Macaca mulatta: one gene and its partner. The protein of the gene in region 2 interacts with the protein of the main gene of each other region in a pairwise test. Links are inferred from orthologs where the notes say so. Each region holds a gene or a part of one and is shown on either strand. Other genes may lie near its edges.

What was found. The genes of interacting proteins can lie anywhere in the genome.
Region 1: the proteins of BFSP2 (region 2) and SYCE1 interact in binary tests that used the Homo sapiens proteins (3 or more experiments, as listed by UniProt). The two-hybrid records come from large-scale screens. The link is inferred for Macaca mulatta from reciprocal best matches to the Homo sapiens genes BFSP2 and SYCE1.

The regions. Positions count from the first base shown.
Region 1 is NC_133414.1:145,684,869-145,690,439, reverse strand, and holds part of SYCE1 (synaptonemal complex central element protein 1), read left to right. Parts: intron 1-3,307; coding exon 3,308-3,370; intron 3,371-4,082; coding exon 4,083-4,142; intron 4,143-4,500; coding exon 4,501-4,575; intron 4,576-5,238; coding exon 5,239-5,286; intron 5,287-5,534; coding exon 5,535-5,571. UniProt on the Homo sapiens protein: Major component of the transverse central element of synaptonemal complexes (SCS), formed between homologous chromosomes during meiotic prophase. Requires SYCP1 in order to be incorporated into the central element.
Region 2 is NC_133407.1:36,464,973-36,471,328, reverse strand, and holds the start of BFSP2 (phakinin), read right to left. Parts: upstream 4,149-6,356; 5' UTR 4,121-4,148; coding exon 3,632-4,120; intron 1-3,631.

The DNA of each region.
Region 1 (5,571 bases), on a different chromosome or scaffold from region 2:
GCCTCAGCCTCCCAAAAGTGCTGGGATTATGGATGTGAACTACTGAGCCTGGCCTTATGCATGTATCCATGATTTTTAATGGCTGTAAATGATTTATCCTGTGTATGTGCTATAATTTATTTAACAAATTCCCTAAGACATATTTAGGCTTCTTCCAGTTTTTTACTATTATAAACAATATAGTGATGAACACCTTGTGCATTATCCATATCAGAATTACTTAGGACATAGTCTTAGAAAAGAAGATGCACCCAAACTTTTGATATTTACTATCAGAGAGTTTGTAAGGAGACACCTTGATTTTGCATATCTGGTTGACAAAGATGAACACATTTGGAAACACAGGTGGTTGGTAAAAATGAAAAACTGGGCATCTTGTATACATCAGTGGAGGGTAATTTGGTAATGTCGATCAAAATTGTGACAAACTTTGGTCAGGTGCCTCTGAGCCTTCTCAACCATGCCTCGGCCTTGGCCTGTGATATGGTTTGAATCTGTGTCCTCACCCAAATCTCATGTTGAATTGTAATCCCCAGTGTTGAAGGTGGGGCCTGGTGGGAGGTGGTCGGATCACAGGAGACCAGTTTTATTTAGATAGTGACCACCTATCTTTTAACTGGATCTCTGAGCTCTGGGAAGAGGCCACACTGAATCATGGGTGTCCAAAAAGGGAGAATTATTATGAGGCTAGACCACATGGATGCTTTAACAGTGCACTTAAGAAACATTTTTTTAAAAAAATTTCTAAGTGTCTAAAATATACTCTTCCTTAAAAACGCAAGAGTAGCTTCTGTTGCAATAATTAGTAAAAAGAAAAAAAAAAATATATATATATATATCAGGTAACACAGTACAAAAGCAAGCAGTTTAAGAGCTAAGATGAATTTGTCTGTTTACACTCTTGGGAATGCATAAGGAAAAGCAGTTTTCTCCGCAAATGGGAGTCTGATGCCTTCTCCATTTTCTTTAAGGAACCTCATGCTATTATAAACTGTTTTAGGTCCCTCATGCAGCAGAGGGTGCAAGAGAAAGGAGAGACAGCAGAACTAAATGAAGAAAATAGCCTTCAGTCAACTGAGAAGAAAAAAAAAATTTTGCTCAAAAAACACAAGGACCTAGGAGAGAGAAAAAAGAAAAATCATGAAAGCCTTTTAAACACACACACACACAGAGACACACACATATCTTGGATGTTAGCTTTTAATTAAGCTGACTTTTAAGCTTTTGAGTTTCTTTCAAATTTTTTTTCTAAATCTCTTCAACATATTTCAGCTAGGACGAATAGCTGCTATTTCAGAAGTACCAAGTATCAAACCAGAAAGGTCTTGATTTAGGAACCAAACCCAGGCTGTTACGGAAAAAAAGAAGACAGAACCTCAGCTATGGAACTGCAGTGTGGGTGACAATCATTTCTCTTTCAGTTTGGCCTGGCTAGCAAAAAGATGGCCTTGTTATGTAAATGAAACCACTTAAGTAGTCAAAATCAAAACTCTTCTCCCCCTTTTTTACTTTTACTGGCCGTTTTTTCTTCCCCCACCACCACTTTTCTGATGGGAATTTAGCCACTTCAGAGGCCTTGTTCCACATAATTTGGAACTTTCCTTTGGATTTGATCAAGTCAGATAGAATTGGCCAAACCCAATGGGAAAAGGACCAAAACAGCAAAAACAGAAAGAAACAACAAAAAAAATAGCGGTTAAGCGTAACAAACAAATGATCACACAACTTGTATGATTACTGAACACTGTAATGGTAAGGAAAAATTAAGAGCAGCTGGTTGTTAATCTTACCTTTAGCCAAGACAAACCCCAATTCAGTTACTTACCTAGGGACGGGTCTTAGGCTGAAGACTTGTCTCTATCATCTTAGAAGCAGGAAAAAAAAACCCTCAAACTTGTCTTTCCTGTTGGGAGCGAGTTCAAACTCCAGAAATGAGTTTTCATGGTAGCAGGAAAACTTGCCTTCCTTGTTGAAAGCAAGTAAAACTCCAGAAAAAGAGAAGAGTTGTTCAGAAAATAAACTCTGGCCTTCGAACGAATTTTGGGAAATGAGGGATTCCCTGGATAGGGGACTTCCAGACCTCAGCAACTTGTCAAATTAGTTTGAGCCACAAAGATAGCCAAGCTGCTAGCAGGCACTGGTAGAATATTTGTCAAAGGTCAGGAGCACCTCTACTCAGAATCCCTTTGTGGTTGCCAAAATGTGAAACCCCAAAATCTGAGACAGGTCTCAGTCAATTTAGGAAGTTTATTTTACCAAAGTTAGGGATGCATGCCTGCGACACAGCCTCAGGAGGTCCTGATGACATGTGCCCAGGATGGCAAGGTAGTCAGAGCACAGGTTGGTTTATATGCTTTTTAGGGAGACATGAGACATGAATCAACATATGTAAGATGAACATTGGTTCGATCTGGAAAGGTGGGTCACCTCAAAGCATTGATGAGACAACTTGAAGCAGGGAGGTTGACTTCAAGATCATAGGTAGATAAAAAACAAATGGTTGCATTATTTTGAGTTTGTGGTTAGCCTTTCCAAAGGAGGCAATCAGATATGCATTTATCTGAGTGAGCAGAGAGATGACTTTGAATTCATTTATTTTCAGATTTTTATTTTACAAAATCAGATACGCATCTATCTCAGCAGAGGGTAACTTTGAATTGATTTATTTTCAAATATTTATAAAAAGATTTATTTTCCTTTCACAATGTTAATGCCATAAATAATTTCTTAGATCTACTAATTTTAGTGTTAAAAATAGGTTCCAATAATTATAAAAAATTAATATGAAATATTTTATGGGGAGATTTCAGGTTTAGTATTGGTTGTATATAGGAAAGCTATTTGTATTTATGTATGTTTTTAAACTAACATCCTAAGGCATTTTGCTACTAATCCTTATGGTTTTATAGAAAACTCTCTTAAGAACTTCCTAGATTATGTCATCTGCTAGTTACAGTGATTTTTGACTCCTTGTTCCAGGTTTTTATACCTTCATTTTTTTTCTTGAATTATTATATCAGGAGCTTTGACCTTACTTTGAACAGCCTCAGCAGTGAGAGTATACCCCTGCCCTCACCCAGAGTTTTACAAAGGGCTGCCTGGTATAATTTTATCCTGCAGGGAAAAGCTGACCATGAAGGAGCCTGATTCATCTAGTGTACTGTTCACCTTAGGACAAGGAGCAGGGCTACCACTCTGGCTGGAGACCTGCCCTCAGTCTACCTCAGTCTCAGCCCAGGGGCTGTCAGATCCTTCCTCTGGCCTCTCGCCCTGCTTGATTCTGAAATATTTGGTTTTGTCTCCACAGGGCAGGACACATCCTCACAGAAAATTGAAGACTTGATGGAAATGGTGAAAAAGCTGCAGAAAGGTCATGTGTCTCCTTTGTGTGAGGCTCAGCCTGAGATTTGGGGCCAAGCAGATGTGGGTTCAATTTCCAGCCCCACAATGTATAAACTTGGGAAATAATCCTCTTCATCTTCTCTTTCTTTTAAAACTTAATTACTTAAACTAAAAATCGGGTCCCATGATTCAAAATTAAAGAAGGAAAAAGGGTAAGGAAGGCAAAGTGTTTTCCCAAAACCCTGTCCCAAACCTCTTGCTGGTCACCCATTTGGCTCCACTGCAGTCCATTAAATCCAGAAGTTGCCACCTTTACTTCCCTTCCTTTCCCCTCAACCCCTACTCCCTCTTTGCTCACTAGGCTCCTGCCAGCCATGTTCCCACCTCAGAGGGGGTCTTTGCACTGACTACCTCCCACCCCAACCCAAAGAGCTGCAGGGCCTGCCCCCCGCCACCTGATTTGGGGCTCTCATGATACCTTCCCATATCTGAGGAGCGCTTTCCACTCCTTTGCGCTTTAACCCCCCTTGCCCTACTTTATTTCTCTTGAACACAGTTACCACAGCCCCACTCAGTATCTTATTGTGTCTGTTCCCAGTCTCGCCCACCCAGAACATGAGCCCTGTGAGGGCCCCACACAGCACCTGCTTTCAGTAGGTACTGAATAGATCTGTGTTGCGTGAAAGCAGCAGAGACACCTCTGCCTGCCCTGTCAACTCAACCTCCTTTCCTCCCTGCAGTGGGAAGCCTAGAGCCCCGAGTTGAGGTCCTGATTAACCGGATTAATGAGGCCCAGCAAGGTGAGTTCAGGGGCCTTGGCTGCCAGCTAGTACCAGCTACATGGTTTGCGGGGCTCAGTGCCAAATGAGAATGCAGGGTCCCTTGTTCCAAAGTTACTGGTTATTCACAACAGCAGCAGCAGAGCCTTAAATTAAGTACAGGGCATTTCAGCATGCAACTGCCATAGTTAATATACCCATGATCCTAGCCCTGCTATCAGCAGAGCCTGGCAAGGAGAGCCTGGACTCTGGAAGCCTCGTTTCCTACTGTATAAAATCTAGGCCACTATAGATTTTCCTGAAGGCAAATGAGAAATGTCACTGTTGGCAAGAGAATAGAAGCTGCACTCACACAATGTTTTTCTGCTCTCTGGTGAAGCCAAAAAGAAAGCCAATGAAGACCTAGGAGAGGCCCGGACCATCTGTGAGGCCCTGCGGAAGGAACTGGACTTGCGTAAGAGAGCCGGGGGTCACCCAGAGGTCCCCACAGTGTCTCAAGCTACCCCAACCCTGTATTCCAGATGATAAGCATCCTTGCCATGACCGAGGGTCCTGTACCCTCTCCAGCCTCATGTCCTGCCAGTCTCCCCCTCTCCTCTCTGCTTGTGGAAGTGTTCAAGAAATACCCTCCAACCTCATTCCCACCTCAGAGCTTTTGCCAGGTGCTGCCTATGCTTCCTCAGATAATACAGGTTCCTCTTTCCTCACATCAACAGTTCTAAGTTAGAATGTCCCCAGACAGGATGACTGGCATTCCCCAGTCATCCCATCTAAAGGTGGCACCCTGTCACCATCTGGTCACATGCCCCTTCCTATTTGATGTGTTTCTTCACAGCCCTTACCCGACTTCATGGGTGTTTGTATTTTTTTCTCTCCTCCCCATGTAAAAGCATGGGCATCCTCCAGGGCCCTCACAGCCACCCTCTGTAAATGTGAAGGCCCTTTGGTGCTTACAGGGAATGTGGGCACCAGAGAGTAGGGAGGGGCTCACCTCGAGGGGTTCACATTTGGGTTGGGGGCAAGGCTGTGCCCAACTTCCCATGTGACCGTGAGCAATCCCCATCCCTGAGGGTGCGTTGCATAGTCCCTGATGCCAAAATGTGTCACTGTTTTCCAGTGCATGGAGAGAAAGTACACCTGAAGGAGATCTTGAGCAAAAAACAAGGTATCTGCCACTCCCGTCTCCAGGCTTGTTCCTTTTGCCGGCCCACAGAGGCCCACTCTCCCCCTATGGCAGCTGAAGCCTTTTGAAACCTATCCCAGCTTGCCTCTCGCCTGTGGCTTCCACTAGACGTGTAGTAAATGTTAAAGCTCAATCAAGTGTCCACAGACCTGACATGATCTGGCCGTGTTCCCCTGCCAAAACCTGATACCTTGACAGGTTCTCATAGGGCCCTGTTCCTCTCCCTACAGAGACCCTGAGGATCCTCCGGCTGCATTGCCAGGAAAA
Region 2 (6,356 bases):
TCAAAACACAAATTCAAAGATAAAACTATTGGCTGGGCATGGTGCCTCATACCTATAATCCCAGCCCTTTGGAAGGCCCAGGCAGGAGGATCTCTTGAGGCCAGGAGCTTGAGGTTGCAGTGATCTCTGATGGCGTCGCTGCACTCCAGTGCAGGGCCCGATGAGGCTTCACTGGTGGTGCACCCGTGGAGCCAACCCTGGCCGCAAACTTACATAGTGATAAGGATGGAGAAGATCCCCCTCCCCGGGACGGCCTTCCTGCTTCTGCCGTGGTGTGAGCCCTAGTTTTGTGTTGCTTTCCATGATGCGGCTCTCTGCACAGTGACAGCAATGGTTTCCCTCCCCCGGCTTCTCTTCCTGGTTTTTCTGAAAACCTGTCTTTGTCTCCTCTTGGTGGGGATAAGACAGTCTGTGGGGGAGATTCCAGGGGACAGGGGGCCCCCACTCCCCAGAATGGCCCCAGGAGCTTTCTGTGTCAGCTGGGGTGGTGGCGGTGGGGAGGAGAGCCCATCTCCTTTGCAACTCTTTCATCCGCCTCTGAAAAGCAGGGAAATGGTGTTTCCCAAACATTTGTGGAAATTGTTGCTCTGAACCTTCCCCACTGCTTGCTCCAGCCTGATCCAAGAAAGTGCCACCGAAATGGACATACCCACCCTGCTCTCGAGTGACTGAGACCTCTCTTGGATTCTCTGTTTGGGGCCCAGGCTAAGGAAGTTGAATTTCTCTCTAGGTGCCAACTCGGGGCTCAGTTGCTGAGAGCTTGCTCTGAGGCCTCAGGCCCTGCATGAGGGCACCTGAGCATGGAACTGGGCTTCTGGACGAGGAGGAGTTCTACGGACAAGGTGGGGAAGAGGCGGCTGCAGGTGGAGAAACGGGAGGGATAAGGGGTGCTGTGAGGAGCACGGAACACCAGAGCCCAGAGTCTGGAAAGGTGGGCAGGAAGCCCCAGCCAGAGAGGCCTAAGTGAGGGCAGAGGGAGAGAGCTCTGGATTTCTGGAGCCCAGGACCGCAGAGTGGCTGCCTCTGACCCCAGGTGAGACGAAGGCAGCACTTTGTGAAACGACTGGGCTGGGAGGTGGCATTTCCTCTAGGCCTGGAAAGGGGTGGGGGCCTAGTGGGGGCCTCCTGCAGTTCCGCGAGGCCAGATTGACTGAAAAAATAACTAGTGTTTCTCAATTATGGAGTTTTCTTTTGTTCTTCTTAATGGAATAGAGCTTAATATGGTTGAAAGGCTGGGCTGTGCAATATAGAAATAGTAACTCCAGGCCGGGCGCGGTGACTCACTCCTGTAATCCCAGCACTCTGGGAGGCAGAGGCGGGTGGATCACCTGAGGTCAGGAGTTCGAAACCAGCCTGGTCAACATGGTGCAACCCCATCTCCATTAAACGTACACAAAAATTAGCTGGGCATGGTGGCATGCGCCTGTAATCCCAGCTACTTGGGAGGCTGAGGCAGGAGAATCGCTTGAACCTGGGAGGTGGAGGTTACAGTGAGTCAAGATCACACCACAGCACTCCAGCCTGGGTGACAGAACGAGACTCCATCTCAAAAAAAAAAAAAAAAAAGAAAAGAAAAAAAAAGAAATAATAACTCCATTTTATCAATTGGTCTAATTTCAAGGCCATGAATTTTTTAAAAAAGAAGAAAAAGAGAACTTTATTAATACCCAGGACCTCATTTACAATCACTGAAGAGGAAAGTGAGCCCATGTGGGACCCTGGCCCTCAGCTACAGAGGTCGCATGTCTTGGTGTGTGGCTGCGGCGCTCACAGGATTTTAGAGCTTCCTAGTCTGTACTCTACCTGTAGGCAGGAGCCAGTCATCTTATTTGTCTGTGGATTTGCAGGAATATCTAAGCATTATTATACCCATTTTGTAGATAATGAAACTGAGGCCCAGAGAAGTCAGTACGTTGCAAGGGCTCTTGTAGCTATCTGGAGCCAGAGCAAGTCGGTATCTATTGAGTATAAACTAAGTTTTGTGGCCCTACTTTTTAACCTAGCCATTGGGACACCTGATTTCTCCTGACAAGTCTGTGTGGCATCTGAGTGCAAGCGATTGTCCAGCAGATGCTGACATATTGGAGTATCTAGGGATGTTCTGGTGGTTGTTATGGCACAATATTTGGACAGTTGTGAAGAATCCTGGAGGAATGGCTGCCTCTTAGATTTGACAGGCATTAAGACCCTGGACTATTCTAAGATGGCTCTCCCTCGCAGCCCGGATGGATGCAAGCAGAACAGCAGCACCAGGGGGAGAGCCTGAGAGGATGGTGCTGCTCATCATGCACTCTGTGCTGTCAGTGGGCACTGAGAGCAGTGCAGGAGAAGCATCCTGGGACGAAATGGGAGGCAGGAAGGGCAAATGGGGAGTCCCTGTGTGCACCTGCTTAGCATCCCCCGGCTACACACAAATAAAATTTTGTGACTTCCTCTTGGGAGGCTGCATACTGGACTCCAGGGGGCCAAGGGTCTGAGTTGGCAGTCCCTGGTGGGTTAGAGACTGATTTTGCTCAGAGTGATCCCAAGACCAGCGTCTGGAGAGAAAGAGGAGGAGAGAAGCCAACCATCCACAGAGAGACCAGCTGAGAGGTGCAATGCTGGCTGGAGTCCCAGCATTAGAACTACAGGCTGCAGGCCAGACATGATGGATGAGCTCCAGACTCTGCAGAAATCACCCTGGAGAGTGGGAAACGCAGGGCTGACCAAGCAAGGGAGAAAGATGAAACCTCTGCATCCTTCCCTGTCCAATAAGATGGCCATTAGCTACCCATGGCTGTTTACATTTAAATTAATGAAAATTAGATAAAACAAAAACGCAATTCCTCAGTCTCATTAACCACATTTCAAGTGCTTGATAGCTATATCTGGCTAGTGGCTGCCAGATTGGACAGTGTAGATATAAGATATTAATATTTCCATCATGCAGAAAGTTCTACTTGAATGTAAATTATCTCATTCATATATTTTGTATTGATTACATGTTGAAATAACATTCTGGACATATAGAGTTAAGTAAGCTATACTATTAACTTTACCTGCTTCTTTTTACTTGTTTTACTGTGGGTAATAGAAACTTGTTGATTACCAATGTACCTCACATTTCTGTTGAACAGGGTGATTATAGGTGGATACAGGAACACACCTCCATTTATTCATTGTTCTTAATACCACATCCATCCAATGGTATTTGACTGGATAATAACTGTAAAAATCCCTTCTCAACAGTAAAGGTGACTGAGGCAGCTCAGGGTAATGGGGCACATGCAACTTTGAAGGCACAAAAATTCAGATTCAAATCTCATCTTCATCCCTCTACTAGCTTTGAAGTCTTGGGAAAATTACATGCCTCAGTTTCTCATCTCAAAAGTGCAATCAATGAATGATCCGCTGCATAGCATGTCTTCGAATTGTAAAGAAGACAGTGGATAGTGCACGTATGGGGGCTAGCGTGGGCTCCTGGTAAACCTTGGTAAAAAGGAGCATTGTTGTTATCATGAACATTTTAAGTGTGAAAGTGTAGGGCATTATGGTCAGTTTCTCTGGCCTCAGCCTACTCACAACCTTACTCCTGCCCTCAGCAGCCCCTCCCAGCCCTCTGCAAAGCCCTTGGCACAGCCTGGACACTTACCTGCTGGCAGCTGCTGGCCCAGGAAGCCCGTAGGGCACCCCAATTTCCCGAGCGCGTGGCCTTGCTCTCCAGGTGCATCCGCAGTTGTGTTTCCAGCTCCTGACTGACTTGTTCAAGGGCATGCACTTTGGCCATATATTCCACCAGGCAGCCCCCTAGGTCCTCAACAGCACCATGGTCCCTCTCCAAACCTGGAGCCGGCACTGTGGCCAGGCCTGAGCTCCGCAGGCCCTGAAGGAAGACACTGCTGATGCCGAGGGCCCGGCGGGTCACACGGGCACCCAGGCCACCTATGCACCCACTGGGTGCTGTTCCTACATAGACCCCAGGTGCTCGGACAAGGCCACTCATGGCATTGGTCCTGGAGGCTGGGGGGCTATCCAGGGAGGATGATGACCGTGGCCCCCTGAAAGATGCCCTGCGCCTCTGGAGGGGCATGCTGGAGCTGGCACTGGGGGGCAGGTCCACTACTACTCGCCTCTCGCTCATCACCCCTTCTGCCTCTGTGGCGCCCAGTGGGTTTACAGAGTCCAGTGGCTTTTGGTTTACAGCCCCAGCATCCCTGTGGCCTGGTCACGGGCCTCTCTGGAATCTCCCCTATCCCCGGGGCTGCTTTGTCTGCTGTCTTCCATGAGTTTCCATCATTCACTGAGCTGAAAGAGAAGAGGGCACTGCCCAGGGCTGTGTGCAGAGAGGCACTCATGCATTCTTTGATGCAGGGTCATGTGCCCAACCTCCCAGATTATTCTGCTGGTGGTGGGGGAGGCTGGATCAGTGCAGGCTGTGGGGGTAGACCATTTGGGTTTGTACATTTTACTACCTAAGAGTGGGCAAGGCAGGCATCAGGCAACCCCATTTTACAGACGAGTAAACTGAGGCTCAAGGACCTCAGATCACAAGTGTGGTGATCACTTGCCCCAGACCTCAAATTACAAGCTAGGACTCAATCTAGCTATTTTGGGGCTTTCTACATCCCTATGTGTACTGGCACATGTGAATGTGAACACATGTCCACACAGGCAATGGAAGATGAAAAGTGTCAGGAGGCAGCTCCAGGGACCCAAGAGAAAAGACTTGCCTACGGTTTCCTCTCTCAGTCCTGACAGCAGCTTCAGGTCCTTGCCTCGCCTCTCTCCTTTCCTCCTCAGCTCTGTCCTCTAATGCTCTGCTGTTCATCAGCTGCTTGCTGTTGGCCAGGATGCTTCCTCCCTCTGGACCTCACTGTTTGAACATTGGCATGAGCCTCCAACTCTCTGATGCACCAGATAAGGACCTTGGGTAGATTCAGGTCCCACACATTATGTTCCAGCCATTCCCTACACCTCTGCTTCTCCATCTGTTGGAAAACTGAGAAAAACAACAAAGACGGTGTTTTCCGGTAAGCTCTCCAAGGGTGCCCCAAGTTAGGATATGATGACACCCCTGGGTTTTAATTACTGACCTTGGCATCCACTAAACCATCAAGGGTCACACCTCAATCCATTCTCTAGGGTCAGAAAGGTTCCTCCAGTTCCAGGATGACAACATGGACCTAAAAACCGCTGTACATAAGTTTTACCCTGGAGAAACCAGGTCACCAAACCCCAGAGCTGGATATTTTTCCAAATGCTGTAATGTAGGAATGTACCTCAGGTGAGAGAAGGAGAAGGGAGCCAACCTCTAGTGAATACCTGATCCAGCCTGGTGTGTGGATGAATCGTATAGTTTATTTCATGGAATTCTCAACTCAGCCTCAGGAGGAAGGAGGTCCAGGGTTGACAGGTACTGCCATATGGGCTGTGAACCTCACAGTTCCAAAAGTACCATATCATATGTTCTACAGTTGGCCACTATCCTCTTACGTGAGGAGGACCCTGAGAACTGCAATGACTTGCCCAAGGTCCCGTGTCCAGAAAGTAGCAGAGCTGGGAGCAGACACCCTCTTCCAACCTCTGGGCCAGTGACTTACTTAGGACCTTCCTTGTTGCCCACCACCCAGAGAGCAGGGTACCTACCTGAGGTCACACAGGTAAAGGTAAAAAACCTGGTCGCCTACTAGAAGACTCTGTGTGCACTTCCTTCCTGCTGACCAGGACACTCCAACCCTTCCTTTCTTTATTGTCTTCCACTTTGTCTGTCTGAGATGGCCGGGAAGGTATTTTATAAATATCAGTGTTGGCTATTTGAGGAACAGATGAAGAACCAATCAGATTAAGTAAAGGACAGTAGTGTCCTTGTTTATTCAGACATAGCATTAATGCTGTGAACACCACCCGATGCACCCAGAAGGGGCAAGCGAGCCTGTGTTACAGTAACAGCCTCCTATACAGGTGACACTGACTTGGTTCTGAGGATCTGCATTATTGTGAATCCCAAGATGTATTGTCCAAGGCTGAATGAAAAGTTCAAGCTACTGATTAAGTTGTGCACAAATGTGTCATGTTTAGGTATTGTTATTCTCTACAGAATGGTGACACTCAATGGCCAGGTTAGCTTCAGACTTCTCTGGACTAAAGATATTTATATATAAATCCACTCAGCCCTGGAGGCGGGGAGAGTGAGGGGGGGATGTACTCTGACACCCTGCCTCCAAAGACCTGATGAAAGATGAGTCTACTTTGGAGAAACTGCAAACATGTTCAAAAAGATTTTATCAAATGATAAATTGCTAATCCTATTAGCTCGTCACATACATAAAACTCACCTTACTGTTAAATCAGATTGAAAAATACGGATGGATATAAAG